Linked DNA regions of Canis lupus familiaris. The protein of the gene in region 3 interacts with the protein of the main gene of each other region in a pairwise test. Links are inferred from orthologs where the notes say so. Each region holds a gene or a part of one and is shown on either strand. Other genes may lie near its edges.

The links.
Region 1: the proteins of FAM168A (region 3) and UBE2V1 interact in binary tests that used the Homo sapiens proteins (3 or more experiments, as listed by UniProt). The two-hybrid records come from large-scale screens. The link is inferred for Canis lupus familiaris from reciprocal best matches to the Homo sapiens genes FAM168A and UBE2V1.
Region 2: the proteins of FAM168A (region 3) and DAZAP2 interact in binary tests that used the Homo sapiens proteins (3 or more experiments, as listed by UniProt). The two-hybrid records come from large-scale screens. The link is inferred for Canis lupus familiaris from reciprocal best matches to the Homo sapiens genes FAM168A and DAZAP2.
Region 4: the proteins of FAM168A (region 3) and SF1 interact in binary tests that used the Homo sapiens proteins (3 or more experiments, as listed by UniProt). The two-hybrid records come from large-scale screens. The link is inferred for Canis lupus familiaris from reciprocal best matches to the Homo sapiens genes FAM168A and SF1.
Region 5: the proteins of FAM168A (region 3) and SS18L1 interact in binary tests that used the Homo sapiens proteins (3 or more experiments, as listed by UniProt). The two-hybrid records come from large-scale screens. The link is inferred for Canis lupus familiaris from reciprocal best matches to the Homo sapiens genes FAM168A and SS18L1.
Region 6: the proteins of FAM168A (region 3) and OTUB2 interact in binary tests that used the Homo sapiens proteins (3 or more experiments, as listed by UniProt). The two-hybrid records come from large-scale screens. The link is inferred for Canis lupus familiaris from reciprocal best matches to the Homo sapiens genes FAM168A and OTUB2.
Region 7: the proteins of FAM168A (region 3) and UBASH3B interact in binary tests that used the Homo sapiens proteins (3 or more experiments, as listed by UniProt). The two-hybrid records come from large-scale screens. The link is inferred for Canis lupus familiaris from reciprocal best matches to the Homo sapiens genes FAM168A and UBASH3B.

Annotation. Positions count from the first base shown.
Region 1 is NC_049245.1:37,194,639-37,198,138, reverse strand, and holds part of UBE2V1 (ubiquitin-conjugating enzyme E2 variant 1), read left to right. Parts: intron 1-366; coding exon 367-492; intron 493-1,740; coding exon 1,741-1,887; 3' UTR 1,888-3,500. UniProt on the Homo sapiens protein: Has no ubiquitin ligase activity on its own. The UBE2V1-UBE2N heterodimer catalyzes the synthesis of non-canonical poly-ubiquitin chains that are linked through Lys-63.
Region 2 is NC_049248.1:43,029,695-43,033,769, forward strand, and holds the start of DAZAP2 (DAZ-associated protein 2), read left to right. Parts: upstream 1-1,275; 5' UTR 1,276-1,416; coding exon 1,417-1,429; intron 1,430-2,467; coding exon 2,468-2,586; intron 2,587-3,015; coding exon 3,016-3,184; coding exon of another isoform or gene 3,185-3,261; intron 3,262-4,075. UniProt on the Homo sapiens protein: In unstressed cells, promotes SIAH1-mediated polyubiquitination and degradation of the serine/threonine-protein kinase HIPK2, probably by acting as a loading factor that potentiates complex formation between HIPK2 and ubiquitin ligase SIAH1.
Region 3 is NC_049242.1:24,822,185-24,826,274, forward strand, and holds the start of FAM168A (protein FAM168A), read left to right. Parts: upstream 1-1,290; coding exon 1,291-1,311; intron 1,312-4,090.
Region 4 is NC_049239.1:52,884,969-52,889,211, reverse strand, and holds the start of SF1 (splicing factor 1), read right to left. Parts: upstream 2,801-4,243; coding exon 2,413-2,800; intron 1,108-2,412; coding exon 979-1,107; intron 1-978. UniProt on the Homo sapiens protein: Necessary for the ATP-dependent first step of spliceosome assembly. Binds to the intron branch point sequence (BPS) 5'-UACUAAC-3' of the pre-mRNA. May act as transcription repressor.
Region 5 is NC_049245.1:47,030,026-47,033,525, forward strand, and holds part of SS18L1 (calcium-responsive transactivator), read left to right. Parts: intron 1-1,019; coding exon 1,020-1,096; intron 1,097-1,770; coding exon 1,771-1,855; intron 1,856-3,201; coding exon 3,202-3,346; intron 3,347-3,500. UniProt on the Homo sapiens protein: Transcriptional activator which is required for calcium-dependent dendritic growth and branching in cortical neurons. Recruits CREB-binding protein (CREBBP) to nuclear bodies.
Region 6 is NC_049229.1:63,423,457-63,427,687, forward strand, and holds the start of OTUB2 (ubiquitin thioesterase OTUB2), read left to right. Parts: upstream 1-1,431; 5' UTR 1,432-1,446; coding exon 1,447-1,457; intron 1,458-1,880; exon of another isoform or gene 1,881-2,045; coding exon of another isoform or gene 2,046-2,048; intron 2,049-4,231. UniProt on the Homo sapiens protein: Hydrolase that can remove conjugated ubiquitin from proteins in vitro and may therefore play an important regulatory role at the level of protein turnover by preventing degradation.
Region 7 is NC_049226.1:11,663,956-11,668,008, reverse strand, and holds the start of UBASH3B (ubiquitin-associated and SH3 domain-containing protein B), read left to right. Parts: upstream 1-1,253; 5' UTR 1,254-1,334; coding exon 1,335-1,495; intron 1,496-4,053. UniProt on the Homo sapiens protein: Interferes with CBL-mediated down-regulation and degradation of receptor-type tyrosine kinases. Promotes accumulation of activated target receptors, such as T-cell receptors and EGFR, on the cell surface.

The DNA.
Region 1 (3,500 bases), on a different chromosome or scaffold from region 3:
TAATGTGGCTTTCCAGAGTAAAGAATGCCTATTACACACCATTGCCCAGAGCACAGGACAGGTCTGCAAAGTAGAGAAATTAATATAAAAACAAGTCCATCTGATTGGATTTAAATAACACTAACTTGAAACTTCAGTGATACTATTTTAAATTTTCTGCCTTTTTATTCCCCCAAGACCAGAATTGATATACACTAGTGTGGGGACAAGTTACTACTAATTTAACAAATAACAAGTAGACTATGTATAAATATAGGAAGTAGATACACCAGTTCTGCAGGCAGGAATAAATGGGGTTTCAAAAGATCTGCCTTTTTGAGTTCATGGTGTGTAATTGCCTGACATCTCTGTACCTTTTTTTTCCAGACAATTTATGAAAACCGAATATACAGCCTTAAAATAGAATGTGGACCTAAATACCCAGAAGCACCCCCCTTTGTAAGATTTGTAACAAAAATTAATATGAATGGAGTTAATAGTTCTAATGGAGTGGTAAGTTGTTTTTCCTGCCCATATTGTTCCTTTGGGTTGAGAGATGCTTTTTGTACTCAAACACCAGGAGCACTGTGGCCCTAATTCTATATTGGTGATTTGATAATCTTGATGATCTTGGTGATTTGATGATGAAATATATTGCAGTATGAACATATGCAGACTTGGTGTAAGGGCCTATTCCTCAGCTGTGTTTAAATCATCATTCGTGTGACACTTACTCTGGGCCAACACTGTGCTGCTTGCTTTGAGATAGGAGCTCATTCTGTCTTCATGATACACCCTCATGAGGTAAAGATGAGGAGCCTGAGGCTTGGAGCTGCAAAGTCCTATCCGGGGTCATAATTGTACTTCCTGAGCCTTATTTACAGGACATGCTATTTTTTTCCCCTTTAATGGCTTGCTTTTTCACATTCATTTTTACTACCATAAATGGAAAACCAGCCTCTCTTGTCATAGAAGGCAGTAATGGCAACAGTAAATACTACAGAATCAAAGTGACATTAATAAATGCCCCATGTTTCTTGCCAAAGGCTTTGAGCCTTTGAGACCTGCTCAAAGGGGAGATCAGCAAGTGTTGAAGGGTTTTACGTGTTAGCATTATGTGAGTTAAGCCTTTGTTTTGAGACACTCAGAAGACTTGAAAGAAAAGCGAAAAGATATGGGCTTGTTGCTGTGTGTTCAGTGTTTAATGTTGTATCTGAGCTCCACCAAAGTCCTGAACCCAAAACTCAACTCACACTTTGGGAAATTTCTTTTGGGAATTACGGTACTAACATGAGAGAATGTGACTCAGAGGCAGGGCCTTGTCACCAGAGTGTGGATTTGGGCCACCAGTTGCCTTTGCTCCTTACTGCACTGAACATTGTTATCATCTACCACCTGGGTGTAGAGCCAAGAAAGGACAGCCTTGAGCAGAGGCAGCAGCCAGTGCATCCAGGAGAGCAGGTCACTGTTCTAGAGCCAGCTGGGTGGAGTCTTGCTAAGTGTCAGGGCCATTTCTCTGAAGGTAGCTTTACATATCCATAGTTTCCTTCTCCTAAACAGTGAGGGTTCGGACACAAACAGGAAAAAACAGACTGCCCAGAGGGAGGGAGTCATGCAGGTAATTCTACATGTCAGATATGGTGGTGTGATGGGCATGTTCCACTTGAGAAATGCACTTTACTCCTATCTGCAGTTTTACTCCAGCATATAGTGATTCATTTGTTGGAGAGCCTGACAGTTTTTTTGTTTGCCTTTCTGTAGGTGGACCCAAGAGCCATATCCGTGCTAGCAAAATGGCAGAATTCATATAGCATCAAAGTTGTCCTGCAAGAGCTCCGGCGCCTAATGATGTCTAAAGAAAACATGAAACTCCCTCAGCCACCCGAAGGACAGTGTTACAGCAATTAATCAAAAAGAGAAACCACAGGCCCCCTCTCCCCCCCCATTCGATTTAAGCAGTCATTTTCCACAGTAGTACATTTTCTAGATACGTCTTGTAGACCTCAAAAGTACTGGAAAGGAAGCTCCCATTCAAAGGCAATTTATCTTAAGATACTGTAAACGATACTAATTTTTTGTCCATTTGAAATATATAAGTTGTGCTATAACAAATCATCCTGTCAAGTGTAACCACTGTCCACATAGTTGAACTTCTGGGATCAAGAAAGTATATTTAAATTGATTCCCATCATAACCGGTGGGGCACATCTAACTCAACTGTGAAAAGACACATCACACAATCACCTTGCTGCTGATTACATGGCCTGGGGTCTCTGCCTTCTCCCCTTCTCCTCCTGCTGGCTCCCTCCCTCCCTCCCTCCCTCCCTCCCTCCCTCCACCCACCCCTCTGTCCCTGCAACAGCCCTCCAGCTTGGGGTGGCTTGCTAGAATAGGCGTGAAGGTTTCAGGTCGCAGCCTGTGGGACTACTGCTGGGTGTGCAGGGGTGCTCCAGCTGCACCCCTGGTTTCCTTTTTTAAGTCTTAAATGATGCCCTCCCCCCTCCAAGCCATCATCCTTTCTCTTCCCATGACCACCCTCGGCCGAAGCATAGATTGTAACCCCCTCTGCTCCCCTCTGAAATTGGCCTTTGGTGAGGAATTCAGGGCTTTCCCCATATCTTCTCCCCCACCTTAATCGAGGGGTGCTGCTTTTTCCTTCCTCCTCAAGTCCCTTTTTGCACCATCACAACCCAATACTTCCTTGCTTTGGCCAGAAGCCATCAGGTAAGGTTGGAAAGAGTCTCTGACTTCCCTCGTTTAGTTTGGAACCACATTTACTCACTCTCCACCAGCCTGGGAATGAATATTGGGTCCTCAGCCCTGCCACCCTCTGCTGTCATCATCAGCTGATGCCGTTTTTTAGCTCAGGTTTTGATAAAGTGAAAAGAACAGTCACCAGGGGTATTCAGACCTGCCAGCTCTCAAAGTGCTTGGTGGTAAAACTTGGAGAAAGGCCACAGAAGACACTTGTAAGCACACACGATCCCTCTGAATGAATTGTTTTCTTTTCCTATAATTGCTTTTGCTTTTAACAATTGAAGAAGTTTTAAACAGGGTTCTCATGTGGTCATCTTACAATCCATTTGGGTCTAGTTTGGAATCTGACAACTGGAACGAAAAGAACCTTGGATTCGGTGCATACTTTGGTTTTGGTGCTGCTGCGTCTCATGGTCCTCAGCAGGGATCGAGAAAGAACTCAGTGTGCACAGCAGATCCCCGAAATTGGCGGGCTTGACTTCCTGGCAAATTGCTGCGTTTTTCCACTTTTCTGTTCAGGACCACTAAATGCTGAGATGTGGATGCATACCGAAATAAAAGCGATTCATTGTGTTCTAAAGATTTTTTTTTTTAATTTAGTGTTTGTATAAAACCACCTTTTGAAGCAGCAACTATCAAGTCTGAAAAGCAATCGATGTTTCCATTAATCTTTTTCTGGGGGATACCTTAGTTCTAAGGATTTAACATCCTGTAAGTAAAGTTGAACATAACAGTATTCCATAAGCAGCCTTTTTATTGTCAGA
Region 2 (4,075 bases), on a different chromosome or scaffold from region 3:
CTGCCTCTCTCTCTCTCTCTCCGTGTGACTATCATGAATAAATAAATTTAAAAAGAAAAAAAAAAAATTAAAAAAAAAAATTAAAAAAAAAAAAAAGAACATTGTGTTCTGGGCAGCTGGATGGCTCCTTCAGCCCAGGGCGAGATCCTGGAGGCCTGGGATTGAATCCCACGTTGGTCTCTCTGCATGGAGCCTCTTTCTCTCTGATGGATAAATAAAAAAAAAAAAAAAAAAAAAAGAAAAAAAAAAGAACATCTTGTGCTGGGGGCGCCTGGGTGTCTCAGCAGGTTAAACGTCTGCATTGGGCTCAGGTCATGATCCCGGGGTCCTGGGATGTGCAGCCCCTGCATGGGGCTCCCTGCTCGGCGGAGAGTCTGCTTCTCTCTCTCCTTTGCCCATCCCTCTGCCGGTGCACTCTCTCTCTCTCAAATAAATAAATAAAATATTTTTTTTAAAAATGTCTTGTGGGGCAGCCCAGGTGGCTCAACGGTTGGGCGTCCGCCTTCGGCCCAGGGCATGACCCCAGGGTCCTGGAATCGAGTCCCACGTTGGGCTCCCTGCATGGAGCCTGCTTCTCCCTCTGCCTGGGTCTCTGTGTCTCTGGTTAACAAATAAACAAAAATCTTAAAAAAAAAAAAAAAGGTCTTGTTTAGCTCCATCTCTGTACTTGCGCAGAGGCGGCGTATCTTAAAATGAAGGTTGCCCGGGGCACTGCTGCCTTAGAGGGTGGCACCCCTGCCCTTAAGGACAGTGAGGGTAGGGACGAAGGGAGAGAGAGGGAGGCTACAGGAGGCGGCAGGCCGGGCCCTGCGCGGGGCCTCCCTCGGGCAGAGGGGCAGCGACGCAAGTGCAGGCGGGCACCTGCCGGCGGGACGGGCAAGGCGGCCAGGACCCACTGACGGCGCCGCCAGCCCGCGCAGTCCAGGGGCCGGGGCCGGGGCCGGGGCCGCCGCGCTCCGCAGGTGAGGTCACCTTGAGCTGCTGCGCAGAGGTGGAAGCAGGTTCCGGGGAGCGGCTTCAGCGGCTCTGCCCCCGAGCGCCCCAGAGAGAGAGAGAGAGAGGAGGGGGGGGGGCGGAAAAAACAAAGGCAAAACCAAAAAAAAAAAAGCCAACAACCGTGTTTGGAGACAATACCTGCATTCGGTTTTCTTCCCGTCGTGGGACGCGGGTGGGGGTGGGAGGGCGAGACCCAAGGGGCGGGGCCGCCGCGCGCCGGGGGGGCGGGGCCACGCGCGCCCGCCCTCCAGCTACTGGACGCCGCGCGGGAGGGGCGGGGCTTCCGGTGGCGGCGGCGCTCGGGCGTCGGGTGACGCGAGGCGGACGGGCCGTCACGTGACACGGAAGTGACTACGAACAGGAAGAGGACGAAAAAAATAACCGTCCGCGACGCCGAGCCGAACCGGACCCGCAGCCACCATGAACAGCAAAGGCAAGGGCAGGGGGCGGCCGGGGCCGTCGGGGGGACAGTGCTAGCCTGGAGCGAGCGGGCCCGGAGCCCGGGGTCGCCAAGCGGAGGCTTGGGGCGCGCTGCGCCTCCCTCCCCGGCCGGCTGCGGCCCCGGGGGCCGCGCCAGACGCCTTCGTCATCCCCGAACTGCGGCTGCTCGCTGCTTCCCGGCCCTTTCCTCCTTAAACTCTGTGGCGCAGTTTGGAGCTGCGGGCTCGGGTGGAGGGGCGGGGGGGTGCAGGGGGGAGGCTTGTCATGATGGGCATCTGCGGGAGCAAATGGGGAGCTAGAGCAGGGATGCGGGTCGGCCAATGGCGCGCCGGCGGGGGCGGGGCTTCGCGCTCCGGAACCAGAGGCCGGCGCCCGGGCTTAACCAGTGCGGCGCCGGCGGGCGGGCCCCGGGGCCCGGGGGCCCGGGGGCGGCGGAGGGGTCTCCCTCCGCGTGCCTCGCGCGGCCGCCCGAAGTGCCCCCGGCTCCTGGGACTGTGCCGGCGTCGGGCCCCACACGGTCCTCCGCTGTGCCTCAGGACGGTTCCCGTTATCCTCCCTCGGGTCCCGAGGGCTCACGTCCATCGCGCGCTGTATTCGGAAGGCGACCTTGAGTAGGAAGCGGCGGGGCAAATAACCCGCAACCTCCGTGACCCAACGAGGTCGCGGCTCGGTCCAGCCAGGCCTGTGGCGACCACCCGGAGCCGGGGCAGCGCGTCCCTGCCGTTGGGCACGGGCAGGAACGGGGCCCCACACCTGCCCTGCATCGATGGAGAAGCTCGGGTGTGCCAGTGGGAGGACTGCCCCGGTAGGAGTAGGGATAAGGGTGCGAAGAGAATATTCTCTCGGCCCCAGAAATCAGCCCCCACCCCCACCCCACCACCCAGAGCGGTCTGTCTACACATCTCCAGCTTGCTGCCCCTAGGGCAGCTACCCAGGATGCTCTGCCCCATTTTGGTGGCTCTGTGTGGTAGGCAACATGCATTTTCTTTTTCTTTCCTTTTTTTTTCTTTTTTTCTTTCTTGTCTTCCAGGTCAATATCCAACGCAGCCAACCTATCCCGTGCAGCCTCCTGGGAACCCAGTGTACCCTCAGACCTTGCATCTCCCTCAGGCTCCACCCTATACTGATGCTCCACCTGCCTACTCAGAGGTGCTTCCAGTTTACTAGACTTGAACCCAGTGCTCTTGGGTCACATCTTCAGTCCTTAGCTAATAAGCCTGAGTCCACGCATATCTATTCAGTGTCCGTAAATAGGAGAAGGGAGGGCTCACGTGAATAGTCTGAAACACTGTACACTTCAGCGCAATTTCTGTTGGGGTTGAGACTGCATCATCTGATTGTTTCATGTTTTTTTTTTTTTTTTTTTTTTGGCACCGGGTGAGGTTAAGAAGATGAGCTTGCGTTCCTTGAGCCTCACGTTAGCTATGGCAGGAAGTGATGCAGGAGGGTACTGAGTGGCAGTGGAAAGGCAGTTTGTGTAACTCAAGAGTGTAATCTGCACAAGGACAATTAAGAATTGAGCGTAGAAGGGATCTAAAATCGGAATGTCATAAAGTAACCTGTTGCCTTCTCTTCTAGCTCTATCGTCCGAGCTTCGTGCATCCGGGGGCTGCCACGGTCCCCACCATGTCAGCTGCATTTCCTGGCGCCTCACTGTATCTTCCCATGGCCCAATCTGTGGCTGTTGGACCTTTAGGTTCCACAATCCCCATGGCTTATTATCCAGTTGGTCCCATCTATCCACCTGGTTCAGCAGTGCTGGTGGAAGGAGGGTATGATGCAGGTGCCAGATTTGGAGCGGGGGCTACTGCTGGCAACATTCCTGTGAGTATGACCTTATCAGAACAACTCAGCTCTTACGTAGTTTAACTTTCTGAAGAGATTACATATTCATCCTTTCACCATCCCTGGGTAATAGCTGTGGTATGGGTATAAGCACTGACATCCAGTAGTTGGGCAGAAAGCAGTTGAGGGGGCAGGAGAACTGTGGCAAGTCAGTAGCATCTGGCACATTCCCTGGGGCCTGAGTTAACCAGATTCCTTTGTTTTCCTATACCTCTTTAAAGCATTAGGAGTCCTGCCTGCTGCTTTTGCAGTTCCACTTTGGTACTGGTCTAGTAATACTCCTTATTCAGCCTGTAACATTTACTTCAAATTTGCCTTCAGTATGGCATTCCATTAAGAAACGTGATAAAAGAAAAACGTGATGAGTAAAAATGGAGAAAGACACATGAGATAAGCACTGTGTGTTATATGTAGGCAACTTGAATTTAAATAAAATAATAATTTTTAAAATCCTGAAAAAAATGAAGAAAGCATAGTCCCCTATTAAGTGGCATTTAGAAAGATACTAGAGATTTTAGTTATGTTGCCTGCTTAGCTCCCCCCTCTATAAGAATTAGAGCCCAGGTGGTCCTTGCCTCAAAGCCATATACCTGAAATGAGGTGAGAATGCCTTTAAATGAGTGGTAGGCTCTTTTCCTGTCTGTACCTTTGGGTTCACAGAGAATATAGACCTGCTTTACAACCCACGTTGGCAGAACTAGCTTTAAGATGTGATTGGTCAGGACACTGCCATCTTTCTAATGGATCCTGTTTCACGTGTGTCCACTTCCCTTGTCTCAGCTGCCCTCTGCCC
Region 3 (4,090 bases):
AATAATACAATATTAGTGCCAAATTAAAAAAAAAAACAACAACAGGGATCCCTGGGTGCCGCAGCGGTTTGGCGCCTGCCTTTGGCCCAGGGCACGATCCTGGAGACCCGGGATCGAGTTCCGCGTCAGGCTCCCTGCATGGAGCCTGCTTCTGCCTCTGCCTGTGTCTCTGCCTCTCTCTCTCTCTCTCTCTCTCTCTCTCTCTCTGTGATGACTATCATGAATAAATAAAATTAAAAAAAAAAAAAACAAGATGCGGGAATGACCAAGAAAAGTCTTTCTGAAGTGATGGCATTTGGGCAGAGACCTGAATGATCTAAAGTGGAAAGCCATGAGAAGAAGTGATGAGGGAAACAAGAAACAGAAAGGTTCAGAGGTAGGAATGAGTTTGAGGAACAGCAAGAAGGTTCTTGGTAGGATAGGAGGTTGAAAAACAAGATGCATAGAGCTTTGGATTCATTTAGCCATGGGGGGGTCAGTTGTGACTCCCTTCACTTAATTTGCTGTGTGTCTCTGGGCAAAGTACCTGACTTTTCTGAGTTTTAATTACCTTATCTATAAAATGGAGATAATAAAATAAAGGCTATGTTGAGAATGAAATGAGAATATATGGAAAACACCTAGGATGGTACTTGGCATATTACTTTATTAAACATATGTTTATTGCACACCTACTATTATTGACCATGTCCTAAGGCACTCATTCCACTGTTATCCAATAACTTTAGTCTGTTTTTCTCTGTTTTTTTTTTTGTTTTTTTTTTTTTTTAATTTGTCTTAGCAAATCTTAAAGCTGTTTTCATGCCCAGGCTAGGCATTCTCCCTGAGCTCTTTATATTAAAATCAAGGAAAGAAGTGTTAGACTGAAAAAAAAAATGATTTGGAAGTGGATGAGTAGGTATAAAAATAAGGATGTGGGATTCTGGTAATTGCAGCCTCTAATATATTCATTTGTTTTGGAAAGAAACTGAATGTGCATTTCTGTCCTCTTTCCTCATCACTGGATACTAGCTATACTCAGGCACTTCCTAGCCAGGTTTCCTGCTGACCCAAACCTGCTTGCCTTAGGAAAATCAGATAGGAGAAAAGTCTTCCATCCTTGTAAGACCATCTGTTTTTTAGACCCACAGCTGCTGCCCTTACGATTGCAACACAACTGGAATGATTTATTCATCTCCAGGTAACATTTGTGCACCAGGCTTCCAGCAAAGTACAGTATCAGCTTTCCACTTAATGAAGCATCCAACACAGGTGGTGAGCTGCACCGGAAAGGATGCTTCTGGCTTAGAAATGGCTGATGGACAGGTGAAGGTAAGATATTAGTACTGAGAGAGTAGCCAGAGGAAGAGCAGAGTGAATACTAGGCAACAAGGGAGAATTTATTGTCCAGTCGGGTCCTGATTGTGTGTCCTATATTCCTGGAATTTCAAGATAATTTAACTTGTCTTTAAGTTAAATATATTACTATTGAGTTAAGTGAGAAAATTAAAATCCAGAAAGAGGAAGGAACTTAGTTTAAGCTGCATAGCAGTTTGGCACAGTTAACACTAGAACTCAGGTATTCCAATTCCCAGTCTAGTGCTTCCCTTCACATGTTTTGTTATGCAGTAAAAAACTTTAAAACATTATCCAAATGTGAGGTGGCATTATTATTTTTTGCTTAGTATAATTCGTTGATATTATGAACAAATCAGAACTTTTTGCCCATTAATAATTGAATAACCAAGCAAATAGCTTAAGTTTTTTGAAACTCTCTTCTTATATATAAAATGAGGATGATTAACATTTGTTCTGGATTGTTTTGAGGGTTAAATAAGATTAAGTATATGAAAACTGGTAAGGTCATTTTTGATAATCAGAAGGTACTAAACAAACAAACAAAAAAAGGTACCAAACAAATGCTAATTTCTCTTCTTTTTCAGTTCAGTTAAGCCAACACTGATTAAGCATCTGCCTTGTGCCAGCTCAATTTCTAGGCTCTTTGCTTATATTATCTTAGTTAACCTTTAAGTTCCTTCCTCTCTCCACTTACTATATATTGAGGGTCTAATTGATATAATAGTACTTTCTTTCTATGACAGAGTCCTTCCATCACTAAACACAGTTGTTATAAACAAGTGATGCTTACTTTTAGAAAAATCCAGAATGTTATTGTTAACCTGCGGTGATAACTATGAACCAATGTACCTAGATCCTACTATGTAAGATTTGGCTTCTGCTTCTACAAAGTGCTCGGTTTGGAGGGCAAATCACGACTATGATGGTATTCTTTGTCATCTCAGAGAAGCTTGGTTTCTCTTTTAGAGTGTTTGATTTTAGTAAATTGCTTCCTTTTCACCTTAGGTTTTAGGCTCTTTGACAAGCCATCTGCTTCTCAAACCCAATTTCCCTTTACCACCAAGTGCTTGCAGGCAGTTTTTCAGATGGAGAACAAAAGCTTTCTCCAGTTCCTAGTGGTTTTGTAAGAGTGGGAACGCCTCAGGGAGAGATTGCGTCTGATTATTGGAATTCATTTGTGATGTGTGCCTGATTAGGCAGTATTTTACCAAGGACTCTGCTGGGCCTGGCTGAAGAGGAAATAAAATTTTGGAATGGAGGTCTGTCAACCTCCTGGGTTTTGGTTATTTCTGTCCTTGCCAGTCAGTATCTGCTAGGGCTCCAAAGAGCTTGGTTGGATTGCTGCTGCTGCTTCTACTGTTACCACTACCTGTATCTGTTGTCTAAGTTTTCCATTTGCACTTTTTTGGTTGTTTTTCCAGGTTGTTGCTCTATTCTATGATCGTTCAATATAACGCAGTTCAATAGACTGAGTAAAGTGGAGATTAAGTAATGAATAAAGTAAGATACATGGAAACCTATTAAAAGAAAAGCCTTAAAAAAATAAAAAAATAAAAGAAAAGCCTTGGTAAACCCATAGGCATTGTGGCTTCAAATCTCAGCTTTGCTTTACACTGGCTCTACAGTCTTGGATATATCATTTAATCTCTTTGAGTGATCATTTCTTTATCTCTAAAAGTGGAAATATAGATACCTACTTTGCTTAAGGTTGTGGTGAGGATTAAATGAGAACTTACAGGAGGGGATCCCTGGCGCAGCGGTTTGGCGCCTGCCTTTGGCCCAGGGCGCGATCCTGGAGACCCGGGATCAAGTCCCACGTCTGGCTCCCGGTGCATGGAGCCTGCTTCTCCCTCTGCCTGTGTCTCTGCCTCTCTCTCTGTGTGTGTGTGTGTGACTATCATAAATAAATTAAAAAAGAATTTTTTTTTTAAAGAAAAAAGAAATGGGAACCTGGGTGGCTCAGTCGGTTAAGTGTATGCCTTCAATTCAGGTCGAGATCCTGAGGTCCTGGGATCAAGCCCCACACTGGGCTCCCTGCTCAGTAGAGAGTCTGCTTCTCCCTCTGCTTCTTACCTGACTTGTGCGCGCGCGCTCTCTCTCTCTCTCTCTTGCTTACTCACTCTCTACCAAATAAGTAAATAGAAAATCTTTAAAAAACAGAATTTACAGAAAAGAATCAAGCTTTAAGTTGGTGTGCATTAAATATTCCCTCCCATTTTTCTTCCCATCTCCTTAAGGAATGTACATGGAGAAATCAGACACATATACGTGTGTTAGTTTAAAATAGCTTTGAGAAGTGGCTAGAATTTGCAACAGTCATTGGGAATTGGAAGGTAAGGTTTTGGGGTAGATACCTTCCTTGAAACCAGGCTGGGAGATACACTCTGGTAAGGTGACCTAACATAATCTTTGTGCCTTTAAAGAAGACCTTAGGAGGGAAAAAGAAAGAACCTGGTAGTGGAGGCCTTGGGATGCTGGTTTCCTCAGGGGGACCATTAAAGAGTCTCTGGTAGCTACCGATCTCTTAAAGGTAGAATAACCTATTTTGCAGTAAGCTGAGAGCAGAACCTTTAAAGCATGAGACTGCCTTTTGGGAACGGTAAGTACATAGCTTGGAAGGTTGTAGCTACCATCTCTCCTTTCCCATCCCTAAAATCTGTTAATATCATCATCATAGTGATCTTTTTGAGGATTCAAATCTGGTCATCTTAACTGGCTGTTAAAATTCTTCACTGGCTCTCAGTTGCCTCTA
Region 4 (4,243 bases), on a different chromosome or scaffold from region 3:
CAAGAATAACACATGCCAGCCTTGAAGCTTTTTATCTGTAAAGGCTACAGCCTCCCAGGCCTAGGCGGCCTTTGCCCTAATTTACTCCAAAGGGGATGTTTATTTGGTTAGTAGGAAATGCTTATCAAGTGAACTTTTTGGAGACAGCTGGAGATACATGAATAAAGGTGAAACTCGCATTAAAAACCTTGTATTTAAAAAAAGGTAATTTTGAGGTTAACTTCATTTACATTGTGGACAATTACTATAATTATTGTCTTGAAATTTCCCAACAGTTAAGATCTTTTTTACCCTATCACCTCATGCCATATCCAAGTAGTACCCCTTTCCCAGCAGAATTCTTTGATAATAAATAGTAAAAGAGCCTTCGTTTTAAGGCAGCTCTCCAAAGACCAAACCAGAAAAGATGCTGAAGGAAAGGTTAAATTCAACAAAATCGTAAAAAGGGATGTATACTGCCAACACTTTCAGGACCACTCTTTGATTAAACTGAGTTTTTCAGAAAGTACCTATAAAAAGTAAAAGACCACATTTGAAGGGGAGGGAAGAATATGAAATGGTGAAAGGCCATGCTGTGAAAAAGGTACTTAGTTTATAATACCTGCAGTGTTCTCCACTTGGGGCCGTGTCCAGAGAGGCAGAAGACACTCACCTCACCAACGGGCAATGAACAGCAGCTGAAAAGTGTAGGGTGGGGTACTGGACTGGGGACTACCCTCACTCCTAAATGGGTCCCTCTACCTTCCTGGCACTCATGGAGAACACTGCTGTTACGAACAGACCGAAACCAGGAGCTTCAAATGCAGGACTTACAGAGCAAAAACTGATGGATTATGTCGAAGTCATAAAAGTACACCTGACCATACCTCATCTCAAAAGAACAAGACTTTAAAGTCTCAAATTTAGGACACATAAAACGCTGCTCAGAATAAGTCATAACAATCCGAAAACATATTTGGGTGCAGAACGTGTATTTACCTATATAAGCTCTTTCTTGTTCCCGAGTAAGTCCAGGGGGGATGACTGTAGGCATTCCTGGAATCACTGTCTTCTGTTCCATTGTATCTTGGTTCCAGCGGCTCCTCTTCCGCTTCTTACTTGGGAAGTCTAAAGGCAGAGAAAACCCATCAAATACAAATATAAACCAACAAACTAACTACCAACAGGCAGTTCACGATACTTATAATACTACACACAACCTCGGCAGACTGGGAAACTGAGAACTTGACCTAAAACGTAAATGGCAAAAAATGGAAGACATACCCAAGAAATCAGAGACACACAGCCGCCACAAAGATACCTGGCTCTGGGTCCAAAAACATATTTCATATTTATAACATATGTCAAAAAAACGTGAAGTATGTAAACAAGCTAACAAATCTTAATCCCTACAGTTTCAGATATGCAACATCAACCACAAATGTTTTAAAAACCCCAGGGGAGACAAAATATACCGAATAATCAGATGTGGTAAAGTATGCTGAGAAAACTGTTGGTTCTTCCCACCTCCAAACCCCACCAGCCACCTTTCTAAAGGGACCAGAACACAACCAAACTTACAATTTACTAAGTGAAAAAGCCCAATTCTTCAAAAAGCTCACTTTTTTCTTCAGAAGTTTAGTCAAGATAAGCATTCAGTTTTCCTGGCTAATTTAGACACTTAACATCAGAACTCCTAAATGAGGTATCAAAAGTTCAACAAAATACAAGCTATCCAACAGCAGCCAAATACTCCTCCTCCAAAACAGAAGCGTAAACTTTCTACACATCTGGTACACACAAATCAGTTCTACTTGGAAAGCCCCAACAACTAAGGGGAGACATATCAGACTTCTCTAAGATAAACGAATGGAGATTAGGAAAATATTCCTTCCTCCAAAAGTGCACCGGCTCCAACCACACCACTGAGGATTTTTCGAGCTCTTCCTTTCACTGCAGTAAAAACTTCGCACAGAGAGATAAATTACTCTCGCTTTCCTACCTTTTGGACTTCTCTAGAATCAGAAAGGTGCTCCACGTCATCAATTGACCCTTTCACGCCCTCCCGACACGCACATCCCTCAACCCGTCCACCAATTCAACCCGCTCGACACCCCTCTCCTGTACCAAGCTGTAGAGAGCAACACAGAGCCCCCCCACCCCATTTCCATTTATTATCGGGCCACAAAGCCCGGCAGCCATACTGCGCCTGCGCACAACACCCTCCGCGCTCCACCCCCCCACCCCTTCCAGTGCGCGTGCGCACTCGGGGCCCGAGAACCGGGCCGCGCGCCCCTTGGCGCCTCCGCCCGGGGCCTCCCCGTGCGCGCGCGCGCCCCTGCCGCGTGCAGCCGCCGTCGCCGCCGCCGCGCGCCCCTCAGGCGGCCGGGCCCGTCCGCGCGACGCCTCTCGCGCTCTCTCGGCCCGACTCACCTCCTCCGCCGCCGGCCGGGCCCGGCTGCTGGTCCTGATGGGGTGGCGGCGGCTGCGGCGGCGACACGCGCTGGTAGAGCGGCGGCGGAGGGGGAGGCTGCGGCGGCGGGTACGAGGAGCCCGGGGAGGGCGGCGGCGGCGGCGGCTGCTGGGGAGGCGGGGGCGGCGGCGGTGGCGGCGGCGGCAGCGCCGCGAAGGGGAAGGCCGCGGTCAGGGCTCCCACCGAGCCCACGGGCGGGGGCGGCGGCTGCCCGGGCACCAGCAGCCCCGCCCCAGGCCCGGGAGCAGGCGGTGGCCCCGGCTCGAAGCCCCCTTTGGGCCCGGAAACGGGGGGGAGGCCGGGGGGGCCCAGCTTACCCAGCGGCGTGGCGTTCGCTCCGGTCGCCATGGCGCCCCCGGGGACCGGCACCGGCGGCTCCTTTTAGGCGGTGGTGGCGGCGGCGGCTTCTTCGCGAACCTTCCGGGGGGAGGGGACCCGACTGCGCTGCCGCGGAGCGCGCGGAGCCCGTCCTCTCACGCGGCGGGCGGCGGCGGCGGCGGCGCGAGACGCACAAAGAGGGAGGAGAGAGGGCGCCGCGGGGGCGGTCCGGGGGCGACGGGTCCGAGTCCTGGATTGGGCCGAGCCCAGGCAAGGGGTCGGAATCGGCGGCCTCCGATTGGCGGAGCCTTAGCCCCTCTCGATGCACGCTGGGATTGGCCGGACCGTTAGGCCGGGGGGAAGAAATGGCGGCCGAGCCTGGCGAGCTGGGAGGTGTCGCAGCGCGCACTTCATTTGTTACTGCGCGAACTGAGCTCGGAGTCCAGAAAGGAGGGGAATGGGGCGGGGCAAGCTCTGTGACGTAGGGGGCAGGGTCTTTCTCATTGGTTGAAGTTGATTGGGTCAATGCTCGGTTGCGTCGTAGTGTCATGGGATTGGCTGTCGCTTGTCCGGTTCTTTTTCTACTCCTCCCCCGGGGAGCAGTTTCTCTGGGATTAAGCGAGAGGTCGCGGCGGTACCCGGCAGAACGAGATTTACGGCCGGGGAGGAGTGGAGAGGAGAGCGCATGCGTAGATGGGGCAAGGCTGCCTCTCCGACCTTCGCTTCATGGTCGACTCCTTGGTCCGGCGCGGAAGCCCTTAGTGACGTTAAGTCTCGATTCCCATAGTAACCCGGAACCGAGGGACGGGGGAGGGGCTGGCGCGCGACCGTAAACCGGAACCGTTGACGCGCCGCAGGTAAAAAGGGACTTCCTGTTTTCTTAAAAAAAAACAAAAAACAAAACAAAAAAAACAACTATAAAATAGTCTATTTGAAGGATCAAAGCGATACTGAGCCTATGGAAGAACACATCATCTTAGGCAGAAAACAATAATAATTCGATTTCAAAATTAATTTGCACAACAAAAAAAAAACCAAAACAAAAAAAAAAACAAAATTAATTTGCAAATACATTGTATTTCCATAGAATCAACTAGGTTGGGGGTTGATTACATCATCTTAAAGTCATATAATTATGAGAATAGTGGGGAAACCTGTAAACGAGGTTGAGGAGGAACTCGCTTTTCGGAATAGTGTGCAAGACACTGTAATGAAACAATGTGATTTGTTGAAGGAAAGACAGATGAGCGCGACAGAATAGACCAGAAATAGATTCCCCATGTGTAGATTCAGTAAAGATTCAGCTAACAAATGGTATAGGATCTTAAACAATAAAACAGACCTAAAATAACAATATAGGAGACCAACAGGGTTATCTAGAGGTGGAGACTTAAGGAAAACAAGAAACTCAGACTAGTAAATATATACTTGATCACTAAAGAAATTAGAACTGTAGGATAAAAGCCAACAGAT
Region 5 (3,500 bases), on a different chromosome or scaffold from region 3:
CCCCCGGCCCCTCCAGCCCCCGGCCCCTGCAGCCCCCGGTCCCTGCAGCTCCCGGCCCCTCCAGCCCCCGGCCCCTGCAGCCCCCGGCCCCTGCAGCCCCCGGTCCCTGCAGCCCCCGGCCCCTGCAGCCCCCAACCCCTCCAGCCCCGTGCCAGGGCAGCATCTCTGCCCAGCGGATGCGGCTGTGGCTGGCGGGGTCAGGCCGGGCCACCGGCTCTGCGGGAGTGGAACCCTGAGGTCAGGATGCAGCGAGGGGTACCCTCGGCCGGTGGCCCGTGACCCTTGGAGCCGAGCCCCCCACAAGGACGTGCGCCCTGGCGGCCGGCGCCGTTCGTCGCTGGCCAAGGCGCGGCTGTTCCTTTGGCGCGAGGCTCTGAACGAAGGCCCCCGCGGAAAGCGGCGCTCACCTTGGGCTCCCCTCCGCCCCTCCTTCCAGAGCAGGAAGCTGGGCACATGCGCGGCTGCAGGAAGAGCCAGAACCTTCTCTTCGCAGCCAGGGGGAGGACGCTGGCTCTGTGCCCGCCTAGCCGCCCCGGATGCCTGCGGACCCCGGGCCTGTCTCCCCCGCCCCCCCGCTGCTCCCACTCCCCCGACCTCCCTCCCTCGCCCCCCTCGGGTCTCCCCAGGCCATCCCGGGCGCTGTCCCCCTTCGAGGTCGTGGTGTTGCTCCACAGGGCCCGTCTCCCGGGAGGCACCGCCATGTGGCCCTGAGGCGGGGGGCTCCAGTCCAGCGTCCCGCACGTGGACTCCGCAGCCCCCTAGCTGGGCACACACGCTGGGGTCAAGGGCCCTAGACGGCGGGGAGGCCTGTGGGCCGTGGGTTTGCCTCCACCACGTGACAGACCTCGGAACCTGCCCCTGGGTTCGTGGGGGACTGACCGTGGCGCACGGAGGGTCGCGCTCAGCACAGCCCCGGGAGGCCGGTCCTGCTGGGGGGGTTGAGGTACGCCTGCACGCCGGCGACGGCGCTGTGCACCTGCTGGAGGGACGCCAGCCGTGCTCACTGTGCTTCTCTGCAGATGCTGGATGAGAACCACCACCTGATACAGTGTATCCTGGACTACCAGAGCAAGGGCAAGACGGCCGAGTGCACCCAGTAAGTGGCCGAGCGGCAGCGGCGGTCCCGCCCAGAGGATGGCCTCGCCCACTGGTCGCTGCCCAAGGAGCGGGAGGTTTGCGGGGAGATGGAAGCATGGGAGGCGGGCCGGCTGCTGGACACACAGGGGACAGTGCGCTCCTCCAGCTAGGACCTCGTGTGGCCCCCGGGCCTGGCTGCAGCAGGCCTGTCAGAGCCCCCGGGGGCCGGTGGCGGCAGCAGCCCCGTGTGCCTGAGGGTTTTCTCTGCTTCGGGGAGCCGGCCTCTCCAGGGGTGCAGACGTATCGAGTCAGCCTGGTGTCGGGGTCAGATGGAGGAGGCCTTGTGCGGAGTCTGCTCGGGCGTCTGCCTCAGCCTCTGTCCTCTGCCCCCCTGTGACCTCTCCTCCACCCCCTCCTGTTCTCTGAACAGACCTGGTGACCCCTCCCCTTGGCCCCCGTTTTGGGGTCTTTCCGCATGCTGTCATCAGATGGGATCCTGCTCAGGACTCAGGCTGGGGCCCGTTCCCTGCCTTGCCCTGTCTGACCACAGAGCATCTGGTGCCTGGCCTGTCCCTGGGCATCGCCTGCGCTCAGCATCCCCTTGGGGCTTGGCTGCAAGGCAAGGCTGTCCCCGGTAGACATCTTCGGATTGGCCTCCGGCTCCTCTGCCTCACCGTGCGCCCTCACCCGCAGGTACCAGCAGATCCTGCACCGGAACCTGGTCTACCTGGCCACGATCGCGGACTCCAACCAGAACATGCAGTCCCTGCTCCCCGCTGTGAGTGCTTGCAGAGGGGGGGACGGTGGGGCCCCGTCCTAGCCCAGCGCTATCAGGCGCTGCTTCGAACTGCTGGTTCGGAGAGCAGATGTCTGAGCGCGTTACCTGGAGTAACCAGGTAACAGGAGCATGGAAAGAGGGTGGGAAGCCAGTCAGAGTCTGAAGTGGACTGGTCAGAATTGTGACACCCGTTTCTTAAGCAAAGGGAGGTGACCCAAAGGAACCAAACCTCTAATGGCAGGAGGCGGGTCTTGGGAGAGCAGGGAGTGCCAGTGGCACACAGGATTCTTGCTCTTTATCGTGAGCCCTTCTGAGCGATTGGAAAAACGGTAGCCTGGGAACATATGCTGCTCTGATTCAGCAAAACTGCAGAAGCGCCCGGTGCAGTGAAGGCTGTAAACACCAGTGTTAATTTTCTTTAAATTTTTTGCTTAACTTTTTAAAAGTCTTTTTCCCAAAATCAAATTATTGCCGCAAAAGCAAGACCTAGTGGCGGCTGCCTCCTCCACAATAAACAGGAAGGCACGGCCTCAGGAGGGCCTGGCCCTTGCGGGACCAATGGGCAAGGAGGTTCCAGGACAAACCTGCCACCGGGAAGGGCTTCCTGCTGCCCCTAGTCCCTTGGAAGTGACTTTCTAAGTGCCGGCATGTGTTTTGCTGACAAAATCATTGCACCAGCCTTGATTGGCCTATGAGATTGGGACTCCTCAGCCTGGAGGTACCAGTGGATCCTGCTGGGAACTTTGTTTTCTCGGCCAGGTTAGGCAGCATATGGGTCCAAACCTTTGGAGGTGCTCTTTGATTTGGATTGAGGACATGAGATGCAGGGGTCACTCCATCCCGTTGCCCTCTATATCCTGATCAGAGGTGGGCTGGCAGCAGGGCAGGGCACACACAGAAGAGGAGCGACAGGAATGCCAGTGCTAAGGCACGGGGCAGTCTCTGCGAAGGCCCTGGGGCATGGAGTGGTGTGGATGAGGACATAGAACCCTGGCGAGCTGAGGGGCAAGGGTGTGGAGTAAGTTGAGGTAGATGCAGTCTGGGGTGCTGTATCCCCGGTAAAGAGGACCCATCTTTGAACTTCTAAGGATGTGTTGATAAGCTTGGAAATTCATTTAAGTTCTGAATGTTCACACAAGAATGCTTGGTGTATTATCTTGGCCTAAAAGGCTTGGGCCTAGTGATCCACCATCGTCTGATCAAGTATGAGAGCAGCAGTTGGTTCTAGACATTTGCCAGGTGGCCATGAGACAGGTGGATCTCACGGGCCACCAAATCTCTGGAGGGCTTCAGGTGGTTATTCTCTGGGTTAACCATCCTCCCTGTTACCTCCCTGTTGCCTGCAGCCGCCAACGCAGAACATGAACCTGGGCCCCGGAGCACTGTCCCAGAGTGGCTCCAGCCAGGGCCTGCACTCCCAGGGCAGCCTCAGTGATGCTATTGGCACGGGCCTGCCCCCGTCCTCCCTCATGCAGGGCCAGATCGGCAACGGTGAGTAGCTTTGAGCACCTCGGGGTTGGGGCTGGCTACTGGCAACCATGTCACCAACTCGGGCTCCCGGGTGACCACTGTCTCAGCAGGGTACCCCATGCCCCACAGAGCTGAGTGTGGGACCGCCCTCCTCCCAGAGGTCCTGGCTCCAGGT
Region 6 (4,231 bases), on a different chromosome or scaffold from region 3:
TCCATTACGCATATATGGAGATTCTGGGTAAGATTTTTTGTTTGTTTGTTTAAAAGACACACTACTAAAAATATTTTTTAAGTATTTTTTTAAATTGCTCCAATTGTCCAACCTTCTCAATAAGAGGGGAATCAGAGGCCCAGAGAGGGCCTGGAAGTCGTCTGAGGCCATGCAGCAGTGAGTGGCAGAGTCTAGAGCCGGTCTGGAGCCCAGTGTTCCCTGGGAATTCCAGCCCGACGCTCCTTCCAAACTTGGGATACCAGCTTAGCTTGGAGCTGCTGTGGCCTGGGGAGGGGAGCAAAGTGGACCAAGGGTTCGAGGTCTAGTATGGTTCAACACAGGGCTCCTAGAAGCCTCAGCCCACTCGGGGTCCTCCTCCCGGAGGCCCTCAATGCCTCAGCTGTGAGCTTGATCAGGGCTAAGCCTGTGCCCTCCCTTTCCCAGCAAAGACTTGTCACCCGCTCTCCGTGGAAGTACACCTGGCTCAGGTATTCCCACACAGAGTGAAGCCCAGCACAGCTTTCAGCAAGCACCGGACGAGGAGTCAAAAGTCTGGGGAACCAGCCTGGCTAGGCCACTTTGTCGCTGAGCAGCACTGGGCTGCTTCTCTTACCTCTCTGACTCCCTTGGCTATAAAAAAAAACAAGGAGCAGAGCCCTCCAAAAGCAAACAGGGGCGTGGTGGTACACACCCTCATCATCACATGCATGGTTCCTCAGCAGAATGAGTTTGGAACCAGCTCCAGAGTCAGGCTGCCTGGGATCGAATCCCACTGTATGGTGGGCGAATTTGGGCAAGTACCTTAAATGTCTCTGTGCCTCAGTTTCCTCATCTGTAAAACAAGGATCATAGGGATGATAATAAGGCAACCTATCCCTGTAAATTAGTTGTCAGAACATTAAGTAGGATGATACAGGTTGAGAGTTGAGGACAGCGCCCAGTACACAGTGAGTGTTCAATAAAAACTCATCTTTGTTGTTCTTGTTCCTCGAGCCACGATTAAAGCCTAAATTCTCCACCTAGTAAATGATGTGCACTTGGAAGACACAGATGTTTGTTTATCCAAGAGTCAAGCCTGGTGCCTGGGGCAGGACAGTGAGCATGGGAATGGGCAATTGCTTAACACACGGACCTGGGAGTTTTGACACCTGTAAATTGATGCATGCAATGCACTGGAGCACCCCCTTCCCCAGAAACCCTCCCTCCCCCACTGGAAGCATCTCCTGGGGAAGGGGGGCAGGGCTGGTGAATGAATCTTTGAATGATACATATTCCTGTGTTTGATGTTCCGTAATAATGAGCTTGTATGCAGGCTGAGTCACCAGACCTGATTTACGTCTGTGCCACACGTATGCAGCCTTAGGATTCCAGAGGCACAGCATCAACAATCCTGGAAATTCATTCACTCAACAACCATTAATTGGGTGCCTGCTAACCGACTGATTCATGAGCTGGAAGTGGGTAAAACATTATTTAGAAGCTACACAAGGGCAGGCAGGTAACTTGATGTTATTGGGCACGTGTTCCCCAAGCACCTGTCCTCTGATCTGGAGCAAACTATACTTACGTGGCCTTGTTGAGAAATTAATGAGAGCCGACTAATCTTTCAGGAGGCCTCAATTTGCAGTTTTGGTCAAAAGCCCTTCAGCCTTTACAAATGAAGCCCTGCCTTTCTGGGTCGGGCTAACTCCTTTGCTAGTTAAAAGCTTTCTGTGTCTTTAAAAGGGGGCGGTGCCCTGTCAAATAAACCCTGAAGCATAGGCTGAAGGCGCGTGGAGTCCCACCCACTTTCTGTGACGTCCTGCGTCCCAGCTGCTGATTGCCCGCCTCAGACGTCAATCGCGGGGCGTGCGTCTCGCTGGGACACAGTGGAGGTCTAGCCTGAGGTTTGCGGAGCGGTCGGGTGCATTCTCCGCTCGCCCCCGCGCCCTCGAGGCCCCCGCCGCCCGGCCCAACGGCGGAGCCAGCCGGTGGCTCCCGCGGCGCCCTCCCGCACCGGATCGCTGCCCGCTGCGGCGGGACCTGGCCCGACGGCTGCGGCCACTATGGTCAGTGGTCGTGGAGGGAGGCGGGGGGAGGGGAGCTGGACGGGGGGCGCGGGGGGCGGGCTCGCCGCCGAGGCGCCTGTGCGCTCGCGGGTCGGGGCACGGGCGCCGGGCTCAGCCCCCAGCGCGGGTCCCGGGCGTTCGGACCCCTGGGAACGGGGAGTCGCCGCGACGGGTGCTGGGAGGAGGGGGGGTCCCCGTCCTCCCCGGGGACGCCCTGCAAGGCCCGAGGCGCGCCCCGCGGTGCCCCATGGACGCCCGGCGCGGGGACCCAGCCTGGGCTCCGGGCCCCGCGTCCGTGGTGCGCTCGCCCCCGTGTCCCCAGGGTGTCGCCCCGACGGCGCAGTGTAGGCGCCCTCGACGGAACGGGAACCGAGAGGCCCCGGGGCTGCGGGTCGCCGTCTTTGTTAAGTAGCCGCGCAGTGGGCAGCTCCCGGCGCCACGCCTCCTCCCCAAGCCCCGCAAGTGACCCAGGAGGTGCAGGAGCCCGGGGGGGGGGGGGGGGGGGGCGGGGGGGACGTCCTCTCCATCCCGCGGATCAACAGAGGTGTGTGCTGTTGGGATGCACATGGAGAGGCGCCTCAAGTTGCAAGCACATGAGTTAGGGGGCCACGGCGGTGGCCAGGGGAACCCTTGATTCAGAGTATGGGTGGAGCAGAAACGGCCCCAGAGCCACCCTGGGCCAGGACGACCCTGGAACTTGCGTGGGAGGGGAAACTGAGGCCCAGATAAGCAAAGGGCGGGGACTGGTTGTGGTAGTAGACCTGGGACTTGAATGCAGGCCTCTGGACTCCCAGTCCAGTGCTCCTTGTGTTACATCAGACCACCTTGCAGGTGGTAGGGGGAGGGGCCGGGCACCTTGCGAGCAACCAAGCAACCTGGTGTGGCGACTGCCTGAAACCCTTTAATCCTTAGCCCCCTGCTCCAGGGAGCCTGTAGAGTGTAAGGGCTCGTGGCCCTTACGGTGGCTTGCAGTCATACAGCTCTGAGTTCAGATGCCATCTCCACCCCTTGGAAAGCCAAGAGGCTTTGGTTGGGCTGGCCCCCACCCCTAGCACTACTTGGCGCATCTGCACAGCAGGCACTGTGAGGGCCACATGAGGTGACACCTGTGGAGCGCCCGGCCTAGGTAACCAGCTACGGCTGCTCCTGTGGTACCAGGGTCCTGGAAGTGGGTGCACACGCATGCCCAGTTCTTCTTGGTCCCCTCCCTCTCCTGTCTGCGCGGGGAGGTGGTCCATCCCTTCAGGACGCTGCTGGGCTGGCGCATGGGTCAAAGCCTGGTCACGGCCTGGCACGTTGAGTGTGGCACGAGCAGCCAGGGCAGCTAAGTCAGGGCTGCCCTGGACAAAGCAGCCGGCTGCTGGGGTGTGGCCCAGGGCCTCTGGGGCATCTGGAAGCATCAGCTTCCTGCTTCTACCCAGTGCCCCAAGGTTTCCCTGGCTCTGCTGCTCCTGGAAGGGGGCCCACGTGTTTCTGCATCTATCACCCACTACGGAGTGGCAGGAGCTGGGGTAATAATGAGTTCAAAACGCCACCCTGGAGCCGGAGGCCACCGTTGGGAAGCTGAGAACAGGGCAAGGACGGTGGTGACGAGGACCTGAACTTTTGGTCTCTGTGCTAGACAGTGAGGCCTCTGATTCCACCTTCCCCACTGCCCTGGACTCTCAAGACCAGAAGTCAGAAGGCAGATGGGGTCAGGGAAGGCTTGGGGGTCTTGGAGAGGGGTGAAGTGGTGAATGCACTGAGGAGGGTGTCTGCCTGGGAATCACGGGGTGGGGCAGGGCTGCACAGGGTCTGCTGGCATTTACTGAGCACCTACTGTTAGCCACACACTGTGCTATGTGGCGATTTTTATGTTCCTGCGTGGTGTGAATGGGGCTATGTGTGCGGGGGCAGCAGAGGAGAGGAACGTCCTTGGGAAATACACCATCTTCTTTCCTCTTCCATTTCAAAGACACTGGGCTAAGCTAGAGGCCTGTGGAGAAGGCACAGGACCCCCTAGGAGGGCAGGGGCTGCCACTGGCTGGGCTGTAGGTAATAAGTGTTCACTCAAAATCCAGTTAACATTTGGTGAACACATGAGTGTGAGAAGTGAATAGTGAAACCACAGGGCCCTTCCGTGCTTTGTTCTTTTGTTTGTCAAACAAGCCCCTAGTCATCAGGCCCCATGATGGGCAGTGATG
Region 7 (4,053 bases), on a different chromosome or scaffold from region 3:
TACCTGAAAAAGAGCAGCGAAGGTTTACTCTTCCTCTTTTCCATGAAACCAAGCCCTTGTCCTTGACTGAGGACAATTAAGTTTGTCTCCAAATGAAAGAGCATAAAGACCCCTAAGCCCAGTTCATGGTGTGTGGTTATGGGGGGTGTGGGGGGGTGAGTGTGGTTCAGACTCCCGCCTTCTTTGGGGTGGGAGTAGTTTTGTTCAACCTACGATGCAAATTCACTGACGTCACCACGGAGCAAAGACGATCTAGTCTTTCCTTGAATCCTTCATTGACGGGGTGCTCACTCCCTAACGAAAACCAACCCCTTCCCTTTTGAACACCTTTTAAAATTAGAAAGTGTTCTTTCTCTGTTCCTTCTTCCGCCCCCTCCTTCCACTTCCCACTTTCCCTGTCCTCCTCCTTCCTCCTTGCATCTTCCCCTTTCTCTTCTCTTTTTTTTTTTTTTCCACCCTGCCCTCTCTCTCTCCTTCCTTCCCCCTCCCAGGCCAGAGAGCCCGAGAGTTCCCTATCTTTGTCCCGAAGTCGCTATCCCAGCCCGGGACAGCCTGGGAGGTCTCTGGGGCGGCCCGCTGGCCCGCTGACCCGAGCTCTGGCGCCCACGGCCACGACCGCGGTCCGGAGGTCGCAGGGTCTTTCGGAAGCAAAACCTTTTATCTGGGCTCGGCCTTCTGGTTCATTAATGCCATCCGTCAGTTCGCCCAATTTCCATGATTAACCCGTCTGGAACCGCAGGAACCACACGAAACTTGGCGCGGCTGGAGGCGGCGTCCGGGGGCCCCGCGGGCTGAAGGCGCGGGCGGCGGCGAAGGCGGGGCCCGGGCGCGGCTCCCCGGCCCCGGCGGTGGGGACCCTCCGCGCCGCAGCCCCGCCGCGCCCGCCCTGCCCGGCCCCGGGGCGCGCTCGGCCGCGCGGTCGCTTTAAGAGAGGGGCGGGGCCCGGGACGGCGAGGCAGGGCCGGCCCACCGGGCTCCTTTTCCTTTTTGATCCATTCAAAAATTACTCATTGCAAATTCCCGGACCGCCGGGAGCGGAGAGGGAAGGGGCGGCGGGCCGAGGGCTGCTGCGGGCGCCGCGCGGGGGCCCCGGGGGGCGCGAGCAGCTGACGGCCGGCCCGGCCCGTGCAGCCGGGGGCCTCACCAGGAAGCGTCCGCCTCGGCCCCGGGGAAGCTCCGAGCGCCGCCTCCCGCCTCCCGCCTCCCGCCTCCCGCCTCCCGCCTCCCGCCTCCCGCCGCCGCCGCCGCCGCCTGGCGCCCGGCCCCCGAGCCCTCCGCGGCTCCCTCCCGGACGCTCGGGCTCGCGCGGCCCCGGCATGGCTGGCCGCTGAGCCATGGCTCAGTACGGCGCCCCCGGGCCGCTCGGCATGGCTGCGAGAGAGGAGCTGTACAGCAAAGTCACCCCGCGCAGGAGCCGCCAGCAGCGCGCGGGCACCATCAAGCACGGGTCGGCGCTGGACGTGCTGCTCTCCATGGGCTTCCCCAGAGCCCGCGCGTAAGTGGCCTCCTCGCGCCCCGCGCGCCCGGCCCCCGGCCCCCGGCCCCCGGCTTCGCCCCGGCTCGCCTCCCCGCGCCCGCCGCACGGGCGGCGCGCTCCCCGCTGCCCCCACCTGCCGGGGCGGGGCGCGTCCCCAGGTGCGGCTCGCGGGCTCCCCGAGGTCCCCGGCGCCCCGGGGGAGGCGGCACCCCCCCTCCCCCCCGGTGCGGGACGCTGGGCCGCCTTAGGGTCCTCCGAGGGCTGGGAAGGGGCGCGGAGGGGCCGGCGCTCTCCGTGCAGCGGCTTCCAGCTCCGGATGTCGCTCGGGTTCGGGCCCCCTCCGGAGTAGGAGGAGCGGGAGCGTGGGTGTTGCTGCGTGTTCATTGATGGGGAGGATGCAACGAGAAGGAGACGCGATCCCTCCTGGGGACCTGGGTGCTCGTCAGTGGTGACGGCAGCGCGGAAATCTGTGGGTGCCTGAGAGTAGGGAAGGGAGCTGGGGTCCCGCATCCTTCTGCCCCTGGAGAGTGGGGAGGGGCAGGGCCCGGAGCGCAGGTGGCTGTCCCTGCAGCCCGCTGGGAAGAGGCCTGGCCGCCCGCGCAAGGCAGCGGCAGCAGGAGGCTTCTCCAGCTTCCGAAGCTGGTCAGCCGAGACCGTGGGGCTGGAACCCTGCCGAGGAGGAAGCCGTGGCCGGGTGGCCCGGTGGCCCGGTGGCCCGGTGGCCGGGTGGCCGGGCCCTCCTCCCTTGGTTAATTTCTCCGTGCGGATTTCTTAGGTAGGGGACACCAGGCCTGCGATCCGGTGGGGGCGCTGCTTCTTTGAATGACATCACCTGAACGGCAGAGTTGGGCAAACTTTATCAGGAAGGGCCAAGTTAATGAAAAAAAAAAAAAAATTTTTTTTTTCTCCCTCTTTTTCTCAGGTAGTAAGTCTAGGTTACCCTTCCCCAGCCTCTGGGCAAATCTCGCTTACTCTATTCTTTGCAAACTTGGCTGTGAACCCAGAGCCAAAAGCACACCCCTGGTTTTACCTTTCCACCCAGCCGGCTGGGACAGTCAGGAAAGTGGGCCCTTGGGAAGTCAGGAAATAGGCCGATGCTTTTGACTTGGGTTGACTTCCAAGCAGTGGGGCTCGTTTTCCATTAAGGAGGGAAAATTCGGTGGGCTCTGCAGGGCTGTGTCAGGTGTGGATGCTGCAAGGTATGCCCTGATTCTGGCTGATGGACGTGCACACCTCTCCTTAAGCACGGGAGGTGGGGCCTGGGGAGTCTGCAGGGTAATGCTGCAGAATTAGCACAGTCCCTGGCATCTAGGCCAACATTAAGGACCTAAGTTGCTCAATGTAGGGAAGAAATACTTAAGTGAACTCCTCAGACTGTCATGTTTGCTATTCAGACCTGCTTTCAAGGGGCATCTTTTTTCCTGCACTGGGTCCGGGAGGCCTTGTCCATGTCCCCACAGATTAGCATGATGGTCTAATTTTGACTGGCTCAACCCCTGAGATCTCCTAATGGCTAGCATTTATTGAATATTTATGATGTACTATCCTAAGTGCTTTACCTTTATTAACCATTGTGCCCTAGCAACACAGTGAGAAAGCTAACACACATGCCCATCTTACGCATTTGGAAACAGAGGTTTAGTAAGGTTATATAACTTGCCCAGAGTCACAACACCAAGCAATAAGGCTGAGATTTGGATCCACGGTGTGTCTGCTTAACCTCACATCCAGAGCCAGTATGTAATGAGTTAATGTAAGCGAAATGCTTAGTTGCAATGCCTGGCACATTGTGAAAGATTATTAAGCCTTAGTTGTTACCGCATTCGTTTCTGTGGCTGCTAGAACAAATGACCACAAATTGGCTGGCTTAAAACAACAGAGATTTATTTTCTCCTGGTTCTGGAGGCGAGAAGCCCTAAATCAGGGTCACTGGGCTGAAATCAGATGTCAGCATGGCTGTGCTGCCTCTGGAGGTTCCAGGGGAGATCCACTCCTTGCCTCATCTAAGTCTTGGCGGCGGCTGGCATTGCTTGGCTCGTGGTGGCATCACTCACTCCGATCTCTGCCCGCCCGGTCCCATTGCCGAGCTGTCTGCGTCAGATCTCCTTCTGCCTTTTTACTGTAAGAGTGACTGCTCTTAGGGCTTCTCCAGATAATTCAGGTTAGCCCTCCCATCTCAGGATCCTTTATCACATCTACAAAACGTTTTTTTTTTTTTTTTTTTTCCTCTTTTTTATTTTTACCATATGGGGATGTTCACGGTTCCAGGGATTAGGACTTGGAGAACTTTTGGGGAGCTCTTTTCAGCCTATCACAGCTCTGAGCATTCTGACTAGCACTGCCTCCCTTTACTGAAGGGGTGACCGAGTGGGTCCTGATGGAACAGTCTGAGCGGGAGGGAAGTTGGCTTTGCTGTTCGGTCTCCATCAGAGCCCCTGCCTGGGAGGGGGCGGAGCCCTTGGCTGTCACCTGATCTAGTTCTCCTCTCACCAGGGCTGCCAACTTGAAAAGACAGACAGCCAGGGCATCAGGCTGAGCTTCTGAGAAGCCTCTTTCTTAGGCCTTAAGCCTGGAGG